3 linked regions of the Arabidopsis thaliana genome follow. The protein of the gene in region 1 interacts with the protein of each later gene in a biochemical or structural test. Each region holds a gene or a part of one and is shown in the gene's direction. Other genes may lie near its edges.

What was found. Proteins that work in one complex are often made in the same cells at the same time.
Region 2: the proteins of RPM1 (region 1) and RIN13 form a complex in vitro, tested with the Arabidopsis thaliana proteins (one study listed by BioGRID).
Region 3: the proteins of RPM1 (region 1) and RIN2 form a complex in vitro, tested with the Arabidopsis thaliana proteins (one study listed by BioGRID).

The regions. Positions count from the first base shown.
Region 1 is NC_003074.8:2,225,055-2,231,666, reverse strand, and holds RPM1 (NB-ARC domain-containing disease resistance protein), read left to right. Parts: upstream 1-2,111; 5' UTR 2,112-2,642; coding exon 2,643-5,423; 3' UTR 5,424-5,812; downstream 5,813-6,612. Other genes in the region: NSN1 (GTP-binding family protein), read left to right, coding at 1-92, 175-348, 447-661, 756-1,020, 1,133-1,312, 1,414-1,625, 1,721-2,065; AT3G07030 (Alba DNA/RNA-binding protein), read left to right, coding at 6,413-6,535.
Region 2 is NC_003071.7:8,760,357-8,765,307, reverse strand, and holds RIN13 (RPM1 interacting protein 13), read left to right. Parts: upstream 1-1,935; 5' UTR 1,936-2,224; coding exon 2,225-2,554; intron 2,555-2,929; coding exon 2,930-3,016; intron 3,017-3,104; coding exon 3,105-3,980; 3' UTR 3,981-4,128; downstream 4,129-4,951.
Region 3 is NC_003075.7:12,922,017-12,930,004, forward strand, and holds RIN2 (RPM1 interacting protein 2), read left to right. Parts: upstream 1-1,665; 5' UTR 1,666-1,978; exon of another isoform or gene 1,979-2,356; 5' UTR 2,357-2,429; coding exon 2,430-2,666; intron 2,667-3,242; coding exon 3,243-3,320; intron 3,321-3,663; coding exon 3,664-3,750; intron 3,751-3,843; coding exon 3,844-3,965; intron 3,966-4,417; coding exon 4,418-4,514; intron 4,515-4,612; coding exon 4,613-4,718; intron 4,719-4,837; coding exon 4,838-4,995; intron 4,996-5,107; coding exon 5,108-5,245; intron 5,246-5,318; coding exon 5,319-5,386; intron 5,387-5,465; coding exon 5,466-5,684; intron 5,685-5,944; coding exon 5,945-6,314; intron 6,315-6,598; coding exon 6,599-6,655; 3' UTR 6,656-7,258; downstream 7,259-7,988. Other genes in the region: G3Pp2 (root hair specific 15), read left to right, coding at 1-78, 166-746; AT4G25225 (uncharacterized protein), read right to left, coding at 1,070-1,342. UniProt on the Arabidopsis thaliana protein: E3 ubiquitin protein ligase that acts as a positive regulator of RPM1- and RPS2-dependent hypersensitive response (HR), in association with RIN3. Probably not required for RPM1 degradation during HR.

The DNA.
Region 1 (6,612 bases):
CAAAAAGAGGAAACTTGGTTTGGTTGATGATGAGGATACCAAGACAGAAGGAGAGACCATAGAGGACTTACCTAAAGTTGTCAATGTTCGAGGTGAGTTGTTTTGGATACCTTCTTCACGCGTTTATGTGCTTTCTCTCTGCCTTTACATGCACTAATGTCTTTTGTTTCACAGATAACTCGGAGAGGGCTTTCTACAAGGAGCTAGTTAAAGTCATTGAATTGTCTGATGTCATTTTGGAGGTTCTTGATGCCCGTGATCCTCTTGGCACTCGTTGTACTGACATGGAGAGGATGGTGATGCAAGCCGGTCCCAATAAGCATCTTGTGTTGCTGCTGAACAAGATTGGTAAGTTCATATATTCAGTCTTTACTCGTGGACGTAATAAGTTGTTTGTTTACTCTGGGTGGTGTAATTAATTTTTGTAACTGATTCACTCTCTCCAGATCTTGTTCCCCGAGAGGCTGCTGAGAAATGGCTTATGTACCTTAGGGAAGAATTTCCAGCTGTTGCCTTCAAGTGTAGCACCCAGGAACAGAGATCAAACTTGGGTTGGAAATCATCTAAGGCATCAAAACCAAGCAATATGTTGCAGACGAGTGATTGTCTTGGAGCAGACACTCTTATCAAATTGTTGAAGAACTACTCAAGAAGTCATGAGGTTGGTTCCATAGTTTAAACTTTAATCATCCTACCTTAGCATCAAGTTATATCATTCAGTTTCAATTAAATCTTCCTTTGTTGTTCTTTGGCAGTTAAAAAAATCTATCACAGTTGGTATTATTGGACTGCCTAATGTCGGCAAGAGTAGTCTTATTAACAGTCTGAAGAGAGCGCATGTTGTCAATGTTGGTGCCACTCCTGGACTGACTAGATCTCTGCAAGAGGTTCACTTGGACAAAAACGTGAAGTTGCTGGATTGTCCTGGAGTTGTGATGTTGAAATCATCAGGAAATGATGCTTCCATAGCTCTCCGAAATTGTAAAAGAATCGAGAAGTTGGATGACCCAGTTAGTCCAGGTAATTGGATATAAGCTCAAGATAGAATCACACTTATTTTTGTGCTTTGTCTTTTAAAGGTTATAATCTGAGTGACCTAACTTGGAAATCTTCTGCTTTGTGAAAAAAATAGTGAAGGAAATTCTCAAGCTTTGTCCTAAAGATATGCTGGTGACTCTCTACAAAATCCCGAGCTTCGAGGCAGTTGATGATTTCCTTTACAAAGTCGCCACTGTAAGGGGTAAACTTAAAAAGGGTGGTCTTGTGGATATTGATGCTGCTGCCAGAATTGTTTTGCATGACTGGAATGAAGGTGCGGATCTTTTTTTGTTCCTCGTAAACTTGAAGCGTAAAAGCATTTTTGAAAACCAGTTTCTTAACTCATCATTGTCTCTAATATGAATGGTTATGCAGGTAAAATCCCATACTATACAATGCCGCCAAAGAGGGACCAGGGTGGACATGCAGAGTCAAAGATTGTGACTGAGCTGGCCAAGGATTTCAACATCGATGAGGTTTACAGTGGTGAATCCTCTTTCATTGGGAGCTTGAAGACGGTTAACGAATTCAACCCTGTTATTATTCCTTCAAATGGTCCTCTCAATTTCGATGAAACTATGATCGAGGTTGGTAACTTCTCTCGTGATTCCATTTGCTTGTAAATGACTCGGTCTGGATTTAATCTTTGTTTATGATGATGTATCACAAAAAAAAAAAACAGGATGAGTCTAAGACGCAGACGGAAGAGGAGGCTGAGCATGAGAGTGATGATGATGAGTCAATGGGAGGGGAGGAGGAGGAAGAGGCAGGAAAGACGAAGGAGAAATCAGAGACGGGGAGGCAGAACGTGAAGCTATACGCAGCGGAAAGCATGTTGAATACAAAGAAACAGAAAGCAGAGAAGAAGAAGAGGAAGAAAGCAAAGAAAGCAGGAGCTGATGAGGAGGATCTGATGGACGGAGATTATGATTTCAAAGTGGATTATAGGAAGAACAAAGATGGAGAAGACGAAGAATTCCAGATTGATGCTAAAATCCCAATGGCTGGACTTTTGCCTGAAGAATGAGTGATTGGAAACCACAACGTTTTTTTTTTTTTTTTTTTTTGTATTTGGCGTTTATGAGTCGGTCGGTTAAACTTTCTGATATATGTGCTTCATGAACTAGTAGTAATACTGAAGCGATTTTGATTTCTTTAATTAACGTTTCTTCTATTCCAATTCTGCTTTGCTTAACAAATATCTTAAGAACATTCAAAAATCATTGAGGTAAGTGTACTTCTTCGCCCTTCAGAAGAAAGTAATAATCTTTTACCCTTTCAGTTTCAGGTAACGAATGACGAAAACAACACCCGAGTTCAGTACATCAGATTTCTCTGTCTCTCTCTTGGAACTTCCAAACTCGACCATATCCGTCAAATTGAATTCCAAGTTGCAAATGTGAAAGCAGTTTAAACCCGTGTTGACTTTAACGCAAGTAAAGGACGTTGACTTTGTTGAGGTCCTTAAGGATAATTGATCAAAATGTTATGTGGCAGGCATGTAAGGTGTGAACCGAAAGCTTGGCTTTGCTCAAATTCAGCAAGTTCACCAAGAGAAACTAAATCAGTGAAGGAAAAAAGGTTCAAGCGAGACTCTGAGGAAGATGGCTTCGGCTACTGTTGATTTTGGGATCGGACGGATTCTTAGTGTCCTGGAAAACGAGACCTTGTTATTGTCAGGAGTCCATGGTGAGATTGATAAAATGAAGAAGGAGTTGCTGATCATGAAGTCCTTTCTTGAGGATACTCATAAACATGGTGGAAATGGATCCACAACAACAACAACTCAACTCTTCCAAACTTTTGTGGCAAACACGAGAGATTTGGCTTACCAAATCGAAGACATTCTCGACGAGTTTGGCTATCACATCCACGGTTATCGTAGCTGCGCCAAAATTTGGCGTGCGTTTCATTTCCCGAGGTATATGTGGGCGAGGCACTCGATAGCTCAAAAGCTAGGAATGGTTAATGTCATGATTCAATCCATTTCTGATTCCATGAAAAGGTACTATCATTCAGAAAACTACCAAGCAGCATTATTACCGCCTATTGATGATGGCGATGCAAAGTGGGTGAACAACATCAGTGAGTCATCTCTTTTCTTTAGTGAAAATAGTCTTGTAGGGATTGATGCACCCAAGGGAAAGCTCATCGGACGGCTTCTAAGTCCCGAACCTCAGCGGATTGTTGTCGCGGTGGTTGGGATGGGCGGTTCAGGGAAAACTACACTCTCAGCGAATATCTTCAAGTCTCAAAGTGTGCGGAGGCATTTTGAGTCTTACGCTTGGGTTACAATCTCGAAATCTTATGTGATTGAAGATGTGTTTAGGACCATGATCAAGGAGTTTTACAAAGAAGCAGATACACAGATTCCAGCTGAATTATACTCCTTAGGCTACAGAGAGTTGGTGGAAAAACTTGTGGAGTATTTGCAGTCGAAGAGGTACATTGTTGTGCTTGATGATGTATGGACCACTGGTCTATGGAGGGAGATAAGTATTGCTTTACCAGATGGTATTTATGGAAGTCGTGTTATGATGACTACTCGGGACATGAACGTGGCTTCTTTCCCATATGGAATTGGGAGCACAAAGCACGAGATTGAGCTCTTAAAAGAAGACGAAGCTTGGGTGCTTTTCTCCAACAAAGCTTTTCCGGCAAGTCTTGAGCAATGCAGAACGCAGAATTTGGAGCCGATAGCACGAAAATTAGTCGAGAGATGTCAGGGTTTGCCATTAGCTATTGCTTCTTTGGGAAGCATGATGTCAACCAAGAAGTTTGAATCAGAATGGAAGAAAGTCTACAGTACTTTAAACTGGGAACTGAACAACAATCATGAACTCAAGATTGTTCGAAGCATTATGTTCCTTAGCTTCAATGATTTGCCATACCCGCTTAAACGTTGTTTCTTATATTGTTCTCTTTTCCCTGTGAACTATCGGATGAAAAGAAAGAGGCTCATTAGGATGTGGATGGCACAAAGGTTTGTGGAACCGATCAGAGGAGTGAAAGCAGAAGAAGTGGCTGATAGTTACCTCAATGAACTTGTTTACAGAAATATGCTTCAAGTTATCTTGTGGAATCCTTTTGGACGACCCAAGGCGTTCAAGATGCATGACGTGATATGGGAGATTGCTCTATCTGTATCCAAACTTGAGAGGTTCTGTGATGTATATAATGATGACAGTGATGGTGATGATGCTGCAGAAACAATGGAGAATTACGGTAGTCGCCATTTATGCATTCAGAAAGAGATGACACCTGATAGTATACGTGCAACAAACCTTCACTCTCTTTTGGTTTGCTCTTCTGCTAAACACAAGATGGAATTACTTCCAAGTCTGAACCTTCTGAGAGCCTTAGACCTTGAAGACTCTTCCATCAGCAAGTTACCAGATTGTTTAGTAACTATGTTCAACTTAAAGTACTTGAATTTGTCCAAGACACAGGTGAAAGAACTGCCAAAAAACTTCCATAAACTCGTCAATTTGGAGACGTTGAACACAAAGCACTCCAAGATTGAGGAACTTCCTCTAGGGATGTGGAAATTGAAGAAGTTGCGATATCTCATTACTTTTCGCCGCAATGAAGGACATGATTCCAATTGGAATTATGTTTTAGGTACAAGGGTTGTTCCTAAAATCTGGCAGTTGAAGGATTTGCAAGTCATGGACTGCTTCAACGCAGAAGATGAGCTTATCAAAAATCTCGGGTGTATGACTCAGCTCACAAGAATAAGTCTTGTCATGGTTAGGAGAGAACATGGAAGAGACTTGTGCGATTCACTGAATAAGATTAAAAGAATTCGATTCTTATCTTTAACGTCGATTGATGAAGAGGAACCGTTAGAGATAGATGACCTGATCGCAACTGCAAGCATTGAGAAGCTCTTTCTTGCTGGGAAACTGGAGAGAGTACCAAGTTGGTTCAACACTCTTCAAAACCTTACCTATTTGGGTTTGCGTGGATCTCAGCTACAGGAAAACGCCATTCTCTCTATCCAAACGCTTCCTAGATTGGTATGGCTTTCATTTTACAATGCATACATGGGACCTAGGTTGCGTTTTGCACAAGGATTTCAGAATCTGAAGATTCTAGAGATAGTTCAGATGAAACATCTGACAGAAGTTGTTATAGAAGACGGTGCAATGTTTGAGCTTCAGAAGCTTTATGTCAGGGCTTGTAGAGGGTTAGAGTACGTACCAAGAGGAATTGAGAATCTTATAAATCTTCAAGAACTGCATTTGATTCATGTTTCTAATCAGTTAGTAGAACGCATTCGCGGAGAAGGGAGTGTGGACCGGTCAAGGGTTAAACACATTCCTGCGATTAAGCATTATTTCAGAACTGATAATGGCTCTTTCTATGTGAGCCTCTCATCTTAGGCGGCCAAGGCAAGCTTCATCATACAAGATACTGCACACTGTACTGTGAAAATCAGGGATGGATATTCACATAACTACTAAACGCCATGAGCTTACCAAACAGATTGATTGTCATGTGTTGTCTTTGAAAGTCAACAATCAGGTCTTCTCTTCACTCAAAGACAACATTTTTTTGCTGGTCTCATGAGTCAGTGCTAATGACTAAACAGCTCACTTCACAGCAGTTTCCACTGTTTTTTTTCGAAATTCATTTAAGTAAGATTTAATATGGTCAGCTGATTGTTCTGTAATTCTGTGTAAACATTACTTTGTTAAGACCTTAATATTGTTGACATTGTTATTTGAGTATCGGCTTCAACCAAGAAATTCCACTACCGTGTTAGTCTTCTAAATGAAAGTGGCTCATTCACAATCCCAAAAGTTAGGACCTTTACACTAATCGAAATAACCAGATACAGTTGGACTAAATACTTAATACTACTCCAAAACATTCCATTTTAAATTTCTCCTTAACTGATGGAAAAGTTTTGAAATTTTGAAAAGAAGAAAGTAAAAAAAATCTTGTTATCAACGATCCGCGGCGGTTAAAACGGAGATTATTATTGATGGATGGATATCTGGTCATTCGTGTTATCCACGTGCAACTAACGCACGTAAAAGACATACTAACCTCCCCGAAAATCGGATCCGGATCCGAAAATATCTGACCCGTTTTGAAGCGGTTTGACGAAAGACCGTTTTGGGCCTAGTCAATAGTAAAAATTAAAAACTCAAGGCTCTTTGGTGTCCCTTGGTATTACTATCGGCCTTTCCCGATGCTCTTTCTTCTTCATCTTGAAACTCGCGATTCCTTCTTCTCCTTCTAGGGTTTATTACTAAGGGTTTCTCTATCCTTAAATCTCATCTCTGTCCTTTCTTCTTCTCCAGAGCGTCGTTCACTGTTCTCTCTCTAAAACCTAGGGTTTTCGATCTTTTCATCTTCTGGTAAAATGGATAGATACCAGAGAGTCGCTAAACCGAAACCAGAGTCTCCGATTAACGAGAATGAGATCCGTATCACCAGTAAAGGCCTTATCCGAAACTACATCAGTTATGCCACCAGTCTTCTTCAGGTACTCTCTCTCTCTCTTCTACTTTGTTTCAAGTCGTTCGCTAAAATCGTGATTCACCGTCGTATATGCTCACTGGA
Region 2 (4,951 bases), on another chromosome or scaffold:
TTGTAATATCCGCTAGTTCGTTACCAGCGGTGCTCACATCTTAAGGTCCTGAAACAAAACAAACATTTCCTTCATTACTTATATGTAATGTTATTCACCTAATCAAATTTTAAAGAAGAAACTCTAAAACTTTGACAACATTGTTATATGTGGATTTCACAACGTAATATCTAAATAAAGAATCTTGATTGAATAACAACTGATTGTACATGACATTTTAAGTCACTAAAACTCTTTTAAAATCATAAACCAATAACACCCCCTAAGACCTTTTTTTATTTTATTATTGACAACATTCAATCATATCTGGATTTTAAACCAAGGATTGTGATACATCAACGATAATAGTAAGACAATTTATTAAGCTATAAATCTTGGTCAAAATTATGGTTTTTAGTTCACTGTTATTAATGTCAATTCAATTTTTTTTATCATATATATATATATATAAAATCTACATATATACGGGCAATTATCTATTATCTAAATCTATAATCATTATCTTTGAAGAACATTAGATTAAAAAATGACAATATAAAGAAAATACTTTATTAGGTATGAATCTACTAACATTTAATCAAAAAAATATTACAAAATCATCCATGAAATGTCTTTTTAGCTTGTTTCCATTACTTTCCAATTCAAGTTTTAAAATGTTAAGCCAAGCTACAAAATATCAAATAAATTATATTTTGTTCGAATCATTATATTTATATTTTGCTTAAAGTTAACTAGCTACTTTTATTCAGTTTTGTAAATGCTACTACTTAAGGAAAAACCATCCAGGAAACAAATATAGTGGTAAGAGAATTATAGCAATTATATCACGATGTACCTTAAAAATATTTTGATTGCACAATATACACTTTTAGCAATCAATAATTTGTTTAGGATCAAGTACTTACAAGATCTATAAGTCAAAGATATTTAATTTACGAAAAGAACAGGTCTAGCATAATATCGGATGACTCGGATTCCGGAATAATTTAAATGAATCTTATACTTGATTACCTCATAGTATTAACGAACGTTAATGTTGATTACGAGATTTGACTTTGTAGAAGTTATGGATAAAATTAAAAGAAATTAAAAGTCTTTAACCAATATATGAAAAACTAAAAGTTCAGGTCCTAAACTTGTAAGCGTTGAAAATTTGGAATTGACTTTGAATGTGGCTTTACCAAACCCAACGGTTGAATATTGTTTTAAATGTCTCTCTCACGCGCTACATTCTTCCTTCTATCTCAGCCGTTCGATTTGACTCTTACGAGATCTCTTTGACTTGAATAAAAAATAATCATTAATGTTAATTTTGTTCTTAAATGCAATACATTATGTATTATTCGTCCGATTGTTAACAATAATGAAAAAGTTTAGTAAAAAAAATCGTTAACAATACTAATATAGCTATACGAAATAAAAAATATTAATACAGAAAGTTGAAAATATATATCGCCAGTTTTTACCAATTTTGGTACTGGTTTTATGATTGAAATAATAACACTTATACCACCACTATGGTACGAATTACTAATCAAGTTGAAACAAATATCAACAAATTTATATAATAATAAAAAAAACTTATCAACAAATTCTAGGGTTTGATTTTCATGAAAATATTGTTAGAACGTGCACATAACACGCTAAACGTTGGATATTAATAAGGAGATGCGGAAGCTGAGGCATTGATACCGTGAAGTGAAGGACCCCCTAGGCCGCACATGCACTTTGTGTCTTGGGAATTGTATTGCTTACATAAATATTTCATCCGTTTCCTTACAACAAATTACGAGTTTTCCTAAAAGTTGTTTTCTGAAGCAAAGAAAATGATTTGTTTTAATATTGTTTTTACATAAAAGGTTGGGAAGAATTTGATCATCAAACCAAACAAATGAACAATCAATGAAAAACATATAAATCCATCAATTTCTATAATCAGCCCAGATTCTTTTGAGTTGAGGCCCATTAGGCCCATATTCATCATATACCCGTTCAAAACTCGTCATTTCATCGTCACCACCACCAGTACAACATCCGCTTTTTGATTCCAAACCAAACCCTAATTTCTCAGCTCGAAGTTTCCATTTCATTGCTTCTTCTTACCTCGATTTTTCCCGGGTATTAGAATTCGGTCAATTTACTGAATTATAGTGTTCTCACATGCCAACTGATTCTACTTCAAAATCGCTGCGAATTTCTGCGATCAGTTACGAAAATTTTGTCAATGGGTTCGGGTAATCATGTTGATATAGTCGATGTGAGCTCAGGCGAAGAGGATGTCGATACACGGGGAGACGTAGAATACACCGATTGGCTAAACGGTGTTATGGAACCCGTCGATGATACATCTGACAGTACCGATATAGTCGAGGTTCTTTCTGAGGTTAGAGGTGGTGTAAATTCTCAGTATCGGAAGCCAAACTCGTCGAATCAAGCTTTGGAAGATGATGACGACTGTGTGATTTTGGACTGTGATCCCGACAAGACGAGGGAGACTACTTCAGTTGACGACGACGATGATGATGATGTGCTTGTAGTGGGTCAAAAGGGTGAGGTATGTTTTCACTGAACCCTTCTCATTTCTAAGTTCTCTTTCGTTTTCTTCATTCGAATTGGTGTGAAAGGCAGAGTTTCTCATTTCAGATTATGTATGCGTTAGTGTTGTTTAGCTCTGAGGAACTGTTTTAGGAATGGATAGTTATTGAACTGTTTTGTGTTATTGTAAAGTAATCGTTGTAACATTGATGAACTTTTTTTCTTTGGTGATGGAACTGTTTTAGGAATGGATAGTTATTGAACTGTTTTGTGTTATTGTAATTTAATCGGTGTAACATTGATGAACTTTTTTTCTTTGGTGTGTTCCATCTTTATACAAGTGTTGTTCACTTAAGTTTTCCTAATATGAAAAAGCATTTTTTTTGTTTTGTAGATAGCATGTAGAGATTTCCCTCATCCGCGACATTCGTGTGCTAAGTATGCGTTCAACTCAACATCACATGAGAAGTACTGTGACATGGTAAGTATCTAAATATTCTCTAATTCTACACGGAGCGTTAATGGATTCTTTTCCTGGCTGATCCTTTTCATTTGGTTTCTCTTTCAAGTGTCATTGTTATGTGTGTGACATCCGTGCTCCGTGTCCATACTGGTGTATCGCTGTCTCCTCCATAGATCATTGTCATGCTAATGATAAAGAGAAGATATGGAAGAATCAACGTGAATACTTCAGGACAGGATACATGCCTACCGCACCATCTTCAAAACCTACTCCAAGTATTTTACGGGTACCCAAAAACACTTTGCTTCGGAAAAACCATGTTGAGATCCGGCCTTGTTCATCATCTACCCGTGTTGCTAATCCTTCAAGTGTCAAAGCCAGGCATAGAATCAGGCAACCGATTCCGCACAATCAAGGGTTGCAGAGTCAACCGGCACAGTCATTAAGCACTGTTCGCGACAGCGTGATCCAAAAGGATAGAAGTTCTTATAGGTTTAGCCTACGATCCCGAGTAGCCTCTTCTGCGGGAAATGGTATCAGCATCCGATTTAACAATGCTCAAGTTTCACAATCCAGTCACCATAGCTCTTCCACAGTGGCACCTACATTAAACCCGGAAACGTACACTCAACAACGCAATGTTCGTGATCATTGCACAGCGCTACCTGGTTCTCAGAGCAACGTGTTCACTCGACATGCAGACCAGAACATACGTGGTAGTGGAAATCGTCAGTTTCAGACAAATGTGGATCGGTTTGCTCCGTCCAAAGCTCCTCTTACTGCTGAAGATTCGCATACAGCTACGGTACAACAGCAACCAGGGATTAATGAAAACGTCTTGGAGACCAAACTATCGGAATTTGAGAAATGGCTAATGGAAAATCCTAACCCAACCGGCCCTGTTAGTCCGTTACCTGAACCGGGAAATCAAGACTATGCTAGTACGTTGTCATTTGATTTTGAAACATTTTTGAATGATTGAAAGATTCATAAGGGTAGTTTGTATCTCCGTCCCTAGGTTAACTCTCTTCACTGATTGTATTTTGTAGAGGGAGTGCTGTAGTTTATTACAATCTCGATTGTGTGTATCATTTAATTAGCTGCTACTAGTACATCATAAAATTAAGTCCTAAAAAGTACCTGTTTGCCAATTGACATAAATAATGTTTGTTGATTTGAGTTTTTTAAGGTCAAAAATCAAACATACCATCATTATCACTGCCTGTTTAAATGATTAGGGAGGGGAAAATATCCATGTAATGTAAAAGAAGACAATCAACAATCGAAAAGCGATAGATATAGAAAGAGGCACACACATATGGTCTTGATTAAATTTGATCAAACTTCTATTTTGCCTAATAGACAAATAGTCCAAATTTATCAAAACCGGAAAAACATTGTTATATTTTGGATCAAAATTACTTCTACCATCATTTAGTTAGCTTTTAATATTTTAGAAACAATTGAATTTTTGACCCAAAAAAAGAAACAATGGAAATAACTGATAAAGTCTTCTTAAAAGTATAGGAAATTTTGCCAAGTATATAGTATTAATTTTGGAAACAAACACGAAAATGGAATAGTTTTGAGAGTTGATACTTGTCATTTGTGGAATTATTACTATTACTTTTTAATGTAAAATATTTCGAAAATAAACTTTTAACAAAAGTAAAATCCGAAAATACTTAGTTTCCAAGTTTATAGAAATCAAGCCCAGCCCATTTGGGGTTTTTAATTTTTTTTTTTTTTTTTTTTTAAAAAAAAAAAAAAAAAAAAAATCAAACCCAAAACGATTCCGTTTAGTAGGCTAAAATTCAAGTAAGTCCCGGCCCAATAAGGCAACTAACGCCCAAAAAAGAAACGGTTTTGTCGATGTGACGGTAGCAAACGGCCACCAGTTTTGTCGTTTCGATGTGCGTGGCCACCACGCGCATACGAAACCGCGTCGGTGTT
Region 3 (7,988 bases), on another chromosome or scaffold:
TCGCCTTCTGCCTCTTCTTCACAAAGTTGGTCTCATACACTTTCCTCTACTGGCTTCCTTTCTACGTCAGCCACAACAGTAATGTTTCTCATCATCTCTCCTTCCTTTTACCTCTAGTGTTGTAGCCTGACTATATATGCATTGTCTGAATTATATGTGATGCAGTGATCGGAGGAGAGTACCTGTCAGAGGAGACATCAGGAAACTTGTCGACAATCTTCGATGTTGGAGGCGTTGTTGGTGGAGTCTTAGCCGGATACATATCTGATCAACTCAACGGCAGAGCCATCACAGCAGCAGGATTCATGTACTTGGCCATCCCAGCTCTTTTCCTCTACAGAGTCTTTGGACACATCTCATTGACCATCAATGTCATCCTCATGTTCACATCAGGAGTCTTCATCATTGGACCATTTGCTCTCATCACAACAGCTGTCTCAGCTGATCTCGGAACCCACAAATCTCTCAAAGGCAATGCAAGGGCTTTGGCTACAGTCTCAGCTATCATAGACGGCACAGGATCCGTCGGTGCTGCGATTGGACCAGTCCTCACTGGTTACATCTCTGCCATAAGCTGGGACGCAGTGTTTTACATGTTGATGACTGCAGCATTGATCTCTGGATTGTTGCTCACTAAACTAATCATAGCAGAAGTCAAAGCGTTATTGTTTGGATCAGAAGATGAAGTAGCTGCATCATCATCATCACCACCAGCATCCAGACCTCCCATTGATGTCCTCGTTTGAGTTTTTTCCTTCATTATTTATCAGTTTCTTTGACAATTTCACACTTTTTTTATCCTTTTAAAGTTCGTTCCTTTTTCCCCAGTTGTCTTCATTTCTTAAGTTTGAATGAGAATAAGATTACCTAATTTGGTTGTCGAATGATATTTAAACCAATCAAAACAGCTGAAAATTGCAGCAATCGGAATAAAGAATCATCATTTGGTTCTATATGATCATCAAATTTCACTGAATTTACACATAAACCTTAAGAAGTAGCAAAATTCATTTTTAAAAAAGGTACAAGAGACGGTGAATTCACCGGAGAAGCTGCTAAGTGGAATCTGTCAAACGTCGTCTCTGCTTTTGGGCTTGCGATATTTCTCCTCAACTTGCTTGGCCATTGAAACGGCGCAGTGACCGAGCTTTTTGATGTTAGGGACGTTGTAGGTCTGAGCGATGTAGATCCCGCACACTGTTCCCATGATGAAAGAGAAGCTGCTCCTTATTATCCCCATCTTCTTCTCCGTAGATCGGATTTTTTTTTTTGGGTTTATTGAATTGGAGATATTTTGATCGGAGAGATTGACGGAATTAAAAGCGAAATCCGCCAAGATCATGAGAATTCTGGAAATTAAAAGTCGAAGAATTGAAGATCCATTACTGGGCCTGTAAGGCCCAAATATATTAAAAATTTACATGGGCTTTTTGCGTTAAATCCATATGAATTTAGCTTTTGTTTGTTTTTATATGGGAAAATTCAAACTAGTCACCAACTTAAGAAATCTTTAATGAGTTAAAGGTGTTTTTGGTTAAAGGGGTCATATTCAAATTTGTTGGTGTGTCAAAATCAAACTATTGCTCTTAAAGAAAAAAAATGTTTACTGAGATGTATATAACATTTTGTTGTTGTTAAAAATGGTTAGAAAATATTATAACTAGAGTTTTTGGTTTCACCAAAACCATATATAACAAATGAATTAAATAAATTTTTTGATGTTATATAGATTTTTTCAGTAGGCATACATATGTTGAAAATAAACTCAACAAAAAAAACATGTGTTGACCGTATCAGTTTATTTTCTAATTAATAAGAAAAGTATTCTATTGTTTTCCAGGAAGGAAGAAGATATCGAATTTTGCTCTTTCTACTTTTCGATTCTCTCTCGATCGAGAGGAGAAAAAGACAGAGAGGCACGGTGACACGCTGCTTTCACAGAATTTCCCCAACCGACAGACAAGCTTCGCGGATTCAGGTTTTTCTATGATTCGATCCATTTCTTAAGAACTCTGCATTTTATTCCTTGTAAAATCTTCCTCCTAGCTCCTTTCTTCAATTTTCGATTTTTGATTTATATTGTTTCAATTTTGGATCATATCTTTTTATTTCTTGTGAATCGGGTCTTTGTACTTGGTACCTCTATGTAGCATTTTTGGCTTCTGTACAAATCTGATTTCACCTGTATGCATACGACTCAATCTAAAAGAACCCAAGTTTTGGATTTTCCTCTGCTTTGGAGCTCAATTTTCTTTACATTCTGAAAAAAAAATCATCTTTTTATGGAAATGTTCAATTTTTGTAGTTGTTTGTATCGTCCGAGTCTTAATACTTATGAGAGATCATGTCTTTGCAGATGGCGTCATGCTAATATGACTAAATGAGATTCTGGGGATTAAGTTTAAGTGGGAAGGCTGTAATAGTTCCTAATGGGGATAAAGTACTTGCCCGTCTCCGTAGCATCAACAGCTCTCAGCTTTGTTGGACTTCAAGTCTGGACAGAGTTGTCTCTCGATAGACTTCGAGCAGATGGGCTGATTGCCAAGAACATTTCTTTAGGAGACTCTGAGCATGCGCTTGAGCTGCTTCTGGGCTCTTATTTCACTATTGCGCTGCTTACAAATTTTGTGCTCAATGTGTATATTCTTCTGGTACTTTCTCTCAAGGTAAGAGTAACCTTTTACTATTGGGATGCAATATAAGCAATGTTTTTTCTAATATTTAGCTTTCGTAGACATCGTAGGCTCCCTCCAAATCAATGAAATTGAACTTCCAAACTTCACTAGATTCATACTTTAAGCGATTAATACCTTTATGAAATTCCTTCTATCCTTAGACTGAGCTTGTTTGCCTCCTAATCTACATTAGTCACTGGTAGAGAGGTGTCTCATTATTTGTTACTCTTATTCTTAATTGTTTCACTTGTTCTTGGGACATCTTTTTTAGGCTCTTAAAGTTTCAGACTTGCACCACTGATTTCTCTTCTGTTGGAAACAGAGTCCAATTTACAGTTCTTACTTTGGTTACGATCGAAAACATTATTATTAGTTTTCCCCTGCGAATGTAGTGATGTGCATAAGAAGCAAATGTTCTTAATTTATAAGAGTCAAACTCTCGTTTCCGGTAGTTGAATGTCTTGCATGAAAGAAAACTCAGGAATTTCATACTGTTTGTTAATTGTTTCTGGAGATGTCTTGTGACCATTGTCTGTGGTTCTAATGTCTTCTCAACATCTTCTGCAGACTCTATTTTTTGGAGATTTATATGATGTTGAAACCAAAAAGTTGGTGGAGCGACTTGCCAATTATATCATATACAAGGTAGCTGTTCTTACTTTGATTGAAAACTAGACTCTGACATACAATAACCTACATTCTGTGTTTTGTATGAGATATTCTTGGTAGTGTTCATTATTTAAAATAACTGTGTCAGGTAAACAAATGGTATATTATTATAGTGACAGAGTAATGGGAAACAGAAAAATAGTTTTTGAAGCCTCAGAGGTCTTTACTTAGACAGTTGATTCTGCCACATTTTCCCTTCATTTCCTCTTGCACTTTGTTTCTATGTGTAGTGTTTTCTGGATTTGAGTTATTTGCAGACATATGTATGTATTGTGGGTGTTAATAGTTTATTTCCCGCTTCTAATCCTCCTGTCCCTAGGGTACGTTTCTACCACTGGTGATTCCCCCAACAATATTTCAGGGTGTACTGTGGACAGTTTGGTTGACTGTTCTATGTACTTTAAAGGTATGAAACACTGGGCGTTCTTGATTTACGAGAAACCAAATTCTGAATTATCTTTTGTCGACACCCTAAACTGTACCTTGTAATGTTATGTAGATGTTTCAAGCTTTGGCTAGAGACCGGCTTGAACGATTGAATGCATCTCCTTCTTCTACACCTTGGACATACTTTCGTGTGTATTCAGTGCTATTCTTGGTCCTCTCTGTTGATATGTTCTGGTAAATCCTAAACCTTGCGGTATAGTCTCAAATATTCAATTGCTGCACTTTCTATCTTGATTTTCTTCTCAAACACTTCTGGTTTATTTTAGAGGATCAGAGTAGATGTTCTCTAGATTTACCCCAGTCCGTTAAGAACAACTTTAAGTTCTTCAACAACATAGAGAGAGTGCATAGCTTGCTTTTTATGTTTATGCTTTACTGTGAGAGTTGTTGTCCTGAAATTCATCTATGCATTGTCAAGGCGAAAGTAAAGCCAAAAACTTCTGAGTGAAAATGTGGATGCCGTAGAGCGAGGAAGGTTTTGTGTCTGAGTTCATTATGTTTTGTGGACTGAATTCCAGTTAGAAAACTCGTTTGATCTCTTTGTGTAGTAACGTTTTAGTAACCAGTTTCACGCATGTCTAGATGATATGCTGAGTAACAGGATTTACTTTTCTCCAATCTTGCAGGATAAAACTTTCCCTTATGACATACAATACAATTGGTTCCGCTGTGTATCTGTTGTTACTTTTTGAGCCATGCAGTATAGCTTTTGAGACCTTGCAGGTACTTAATTGATAACAGTTTTCTTCTTCGTCCTACTCGTTGTCTTTCTTTCGTAGCCATAGTCAACAAAATATAGAGCTCATCGGAACTTTTTGCAGGCGCTGTTAATTCATGGGTTTCAGCTGCTAGATATGTGGATTAACCACTTAGCAGTTAAGAACTCAGACTGCCAAAGATCTAAGTTTATTGATTCTATGACAGCAGGTCGTTTCTTTTCTGGTGTTATGCTTTGTTTTTCTATTAGAGCCCGAAAATGCATTCTTGTGGACATTTTTGGTCTATTGGAACTCCAAATCTCAAGTTAAACTCTTATCTTTGGATAGGCTCACTGTTGGAATGGAAAGGCCTCCTCAACCGTAACCTTGGTTTCTTCCTGGACATGGCTACTTTGGTAATGGCACTAGGTCATTATTTGCACATTTGGTGGCTGCATGGCATTGCCTTTCATCTGGTGGATGCAGTTTTGTTTCTCAACATACGTGTATGTCTGTTAATTGGCTTTCTTTAAAACAGTGTCACTCTCCCGGTTACTTGATACTAGGCACAGCATTGAATTGTTGTATTTTTACCTGGTTTTCTGTTTGGTTTGGCAGGCATTGCTAAGTGCAATTTTGAAACGAATAAAAGGATACATTAAACTAAGAATAGCTCTGGGTGCTCTCCATGCAGCCCTCCCTGATGCAACTTCTGAAGAGTTAAGGGCATATGATGATGAATGTGCTATATGTCGGGTACGCTTCTGCTATAGTCATTTTCTTATAAGCTTTCAATCTCAAACTCTTAAAATACAATTATAATTGGCAGGAACCTATGGCTAAGGCTAAAAGGCTTCACTGCAACCACCTTTTCCATCTTGGATGCCTGCGATCCTGGTGCGCTTAGCTAAATATCGACAGCCTCGTGTCTTTATGACTCACACTGGTGATCCTGATGATGTTTTGATTCCTGCAGGTTGGATCAAGGTCTAAATGAGGTTTATTCTTGTCCTACATGTCGTAAGCCTCTTTTCGTTGGTAGAACTGAAAATGAGGTGAACCCTCGCACAGTGGAAGTCTCAAGTGATGAGCAGTTAGCCCGTCAGCTTGAAAGACAAAACAATCCTGTACATGCACTAGCCACTGGATTATTTCCTGCTGAGGTGCCAGATTCTGTCGAAAATGATACTTCGAGGTTCAGTTCATTCTTCGTTCTTGATTTTCTTATTAACTACACCAAAGTAACAATTTATTTAGAACTTCATGATTCTTTTCCTGCGACTCCCTTGATCTTGGTACTGAGATACTAAATTTGCACTGCCTTAAAGTAACGTTATTTTAAAATGTTTTGAATAGCAAGTTATATTTGGTTTCTGACGACCACTATTTGTGCATATTTCTTGGATTTATTTTACTGGATTGTATAAGTTCTCATCCCTTTCTTTCACAAAATAGGAATTTAGGATTGGATCCAAGTTGGCTGCAGACATGGTCAAGTCAGGGTTCTGATGTCGCTGGTCCTTCTACCACTTCCAGGACAGTTGGACTTGGGCGGGTTCAGATGATGATGAGGCATCTTGCATCTGTTGGCGAAAGCTATGCTCAAACTGCACTTGACGATGCTGCTTGGAGTCTATGGCCGATGAACCCTTCACAAGCATCCACTTCTTCTACAACTGTACCTCCTGGTAATGGTGGAAGGACAGGTGGTCTGCATCTGAGAACTGTATCAAACACGACAAATGAAAGCTTAACAAATATACTAGCTATGGCCGAGACAGTGAGGGAAGTCATGCCACACGTGCCCGATGAAATTATTTTCCAGGTAAATTTTAAGTGCATATTGGATTATCTGTAAGCTTTGATGGGATGTGCATACATGGTTGAGTTGAGTTGGTGGCTCATTTAGATTGTCTTCTGCATTGACTGGAAGGAACTATTTTTTGCATATATTCATACCTGAAGCCGAATTTTATCAGTTTATGTATGTGGTCAATTTGCCTGAACTGGTCTCTATATTCACTAGACTGGTCCTTAAGCTATGGATAGTTCAGTTTTAAGATTCACGTGACTTGATACTTGAACCTGTTATGTTTCAATTTCTTGCAGGACCTGCAGAGAACAAACTCTGTTGCTGTTACCGTGAACAATCTTCTCCAGATGTGATGATAGTTTGTGTAAAATATACTAAGCACTTCCATTTCAACCTTAGGTATAGATTAATGATTGGGGACATATCCTTATCCGTAAGTTTTACACACCACCCAACATTCCAAGCTTCACCCGCTGTAGATATAAGGCACTGTGTATCACTTTTTGCTATAGAGAAGAAGAGGCTCTAGTGTATAGCTTCTGTTCATTGCTCTCTTGCGAAAATAAGTTCGGATATTTACATAAGGTGATGATGCCCTGGTGGTCTGGAGATATCTTGTTGCAGTCTGACCTTGGCTCCAATCTCGAGGGAGAGTAACCACTCTTTGCAGCTGCTCTTTTGGCTGCTGCCACCTCTCCTGTATAAGAATGTGTAATTTACAATAAAGAAAAAAGAAGTAAATGAAAGAGTCTACTGTTATTGATCCAATAGCCTGTAATGTAGTATCATCAAATGTGTGAACTCAATTTTTTTTTCTTCTGAAGAATTATCTTCCTACATTAACTCTATACCCGTTTTGACGAACGGATAAACAGTGAAGAGACAAATTAACATATAAAATATAATTTGTCATAACCATTTCGAGTAGATATAATCAATAGAAAAGTATCATGTTGGTACTTTTAACGCAACTTCAAGCCGAAAAAGATTGTGAAGAGATTGTTTCTTTCGAAGGAAGCAACTTTGATTTTGTCCATGCCGTGTGTAAATTAGCAATAGCAGAAGAGAACCACTTAAACTTATTTTAATACGCTTCTAGATAGCTCTACTTGGTTCGATAAATTTTTATGCACGTTAAGTAAGTTTAATCTGTTTCTAATAACTAAAATATATGATGTAGTTGGCATAAAAAAAACCATAAAATCTATTCCCAACAAATGAGGAATATTCACATCTAAGATATTCTTTTTAAAACCAAAGGAACAAGATTAACATGAGACCTTAGACAAAGGGAATGGCCATGAACCATTCCATAATTCCATTTAGAGATAGCAAGTGGCAGATATATATGTGTAATTCGAAAATATATAAGTATATTTGATCCATTCTAGTCTTCATTAAAAGATACACAATATTATCATTTATCAATTAAGTGGAGGGACTGACTCTACATCAAAGATAGAAATAGGGTAATTTAGTTAAGCAAGACTCAAGTATCAGGAAGTGAGATCACTACTTTGCAACAATCTCTTGATAGCCATCTGAAATCTTCTTCAGATGCTAATCTCAACTCATGGAAACATCCATGGCACGGTGTATTGACATAATGTAGCAAGTTACAAACTTACAATGCAACATATGGGGAAAATCTGAGGAAAAACATAAGAAACGATGAACAACATAAAC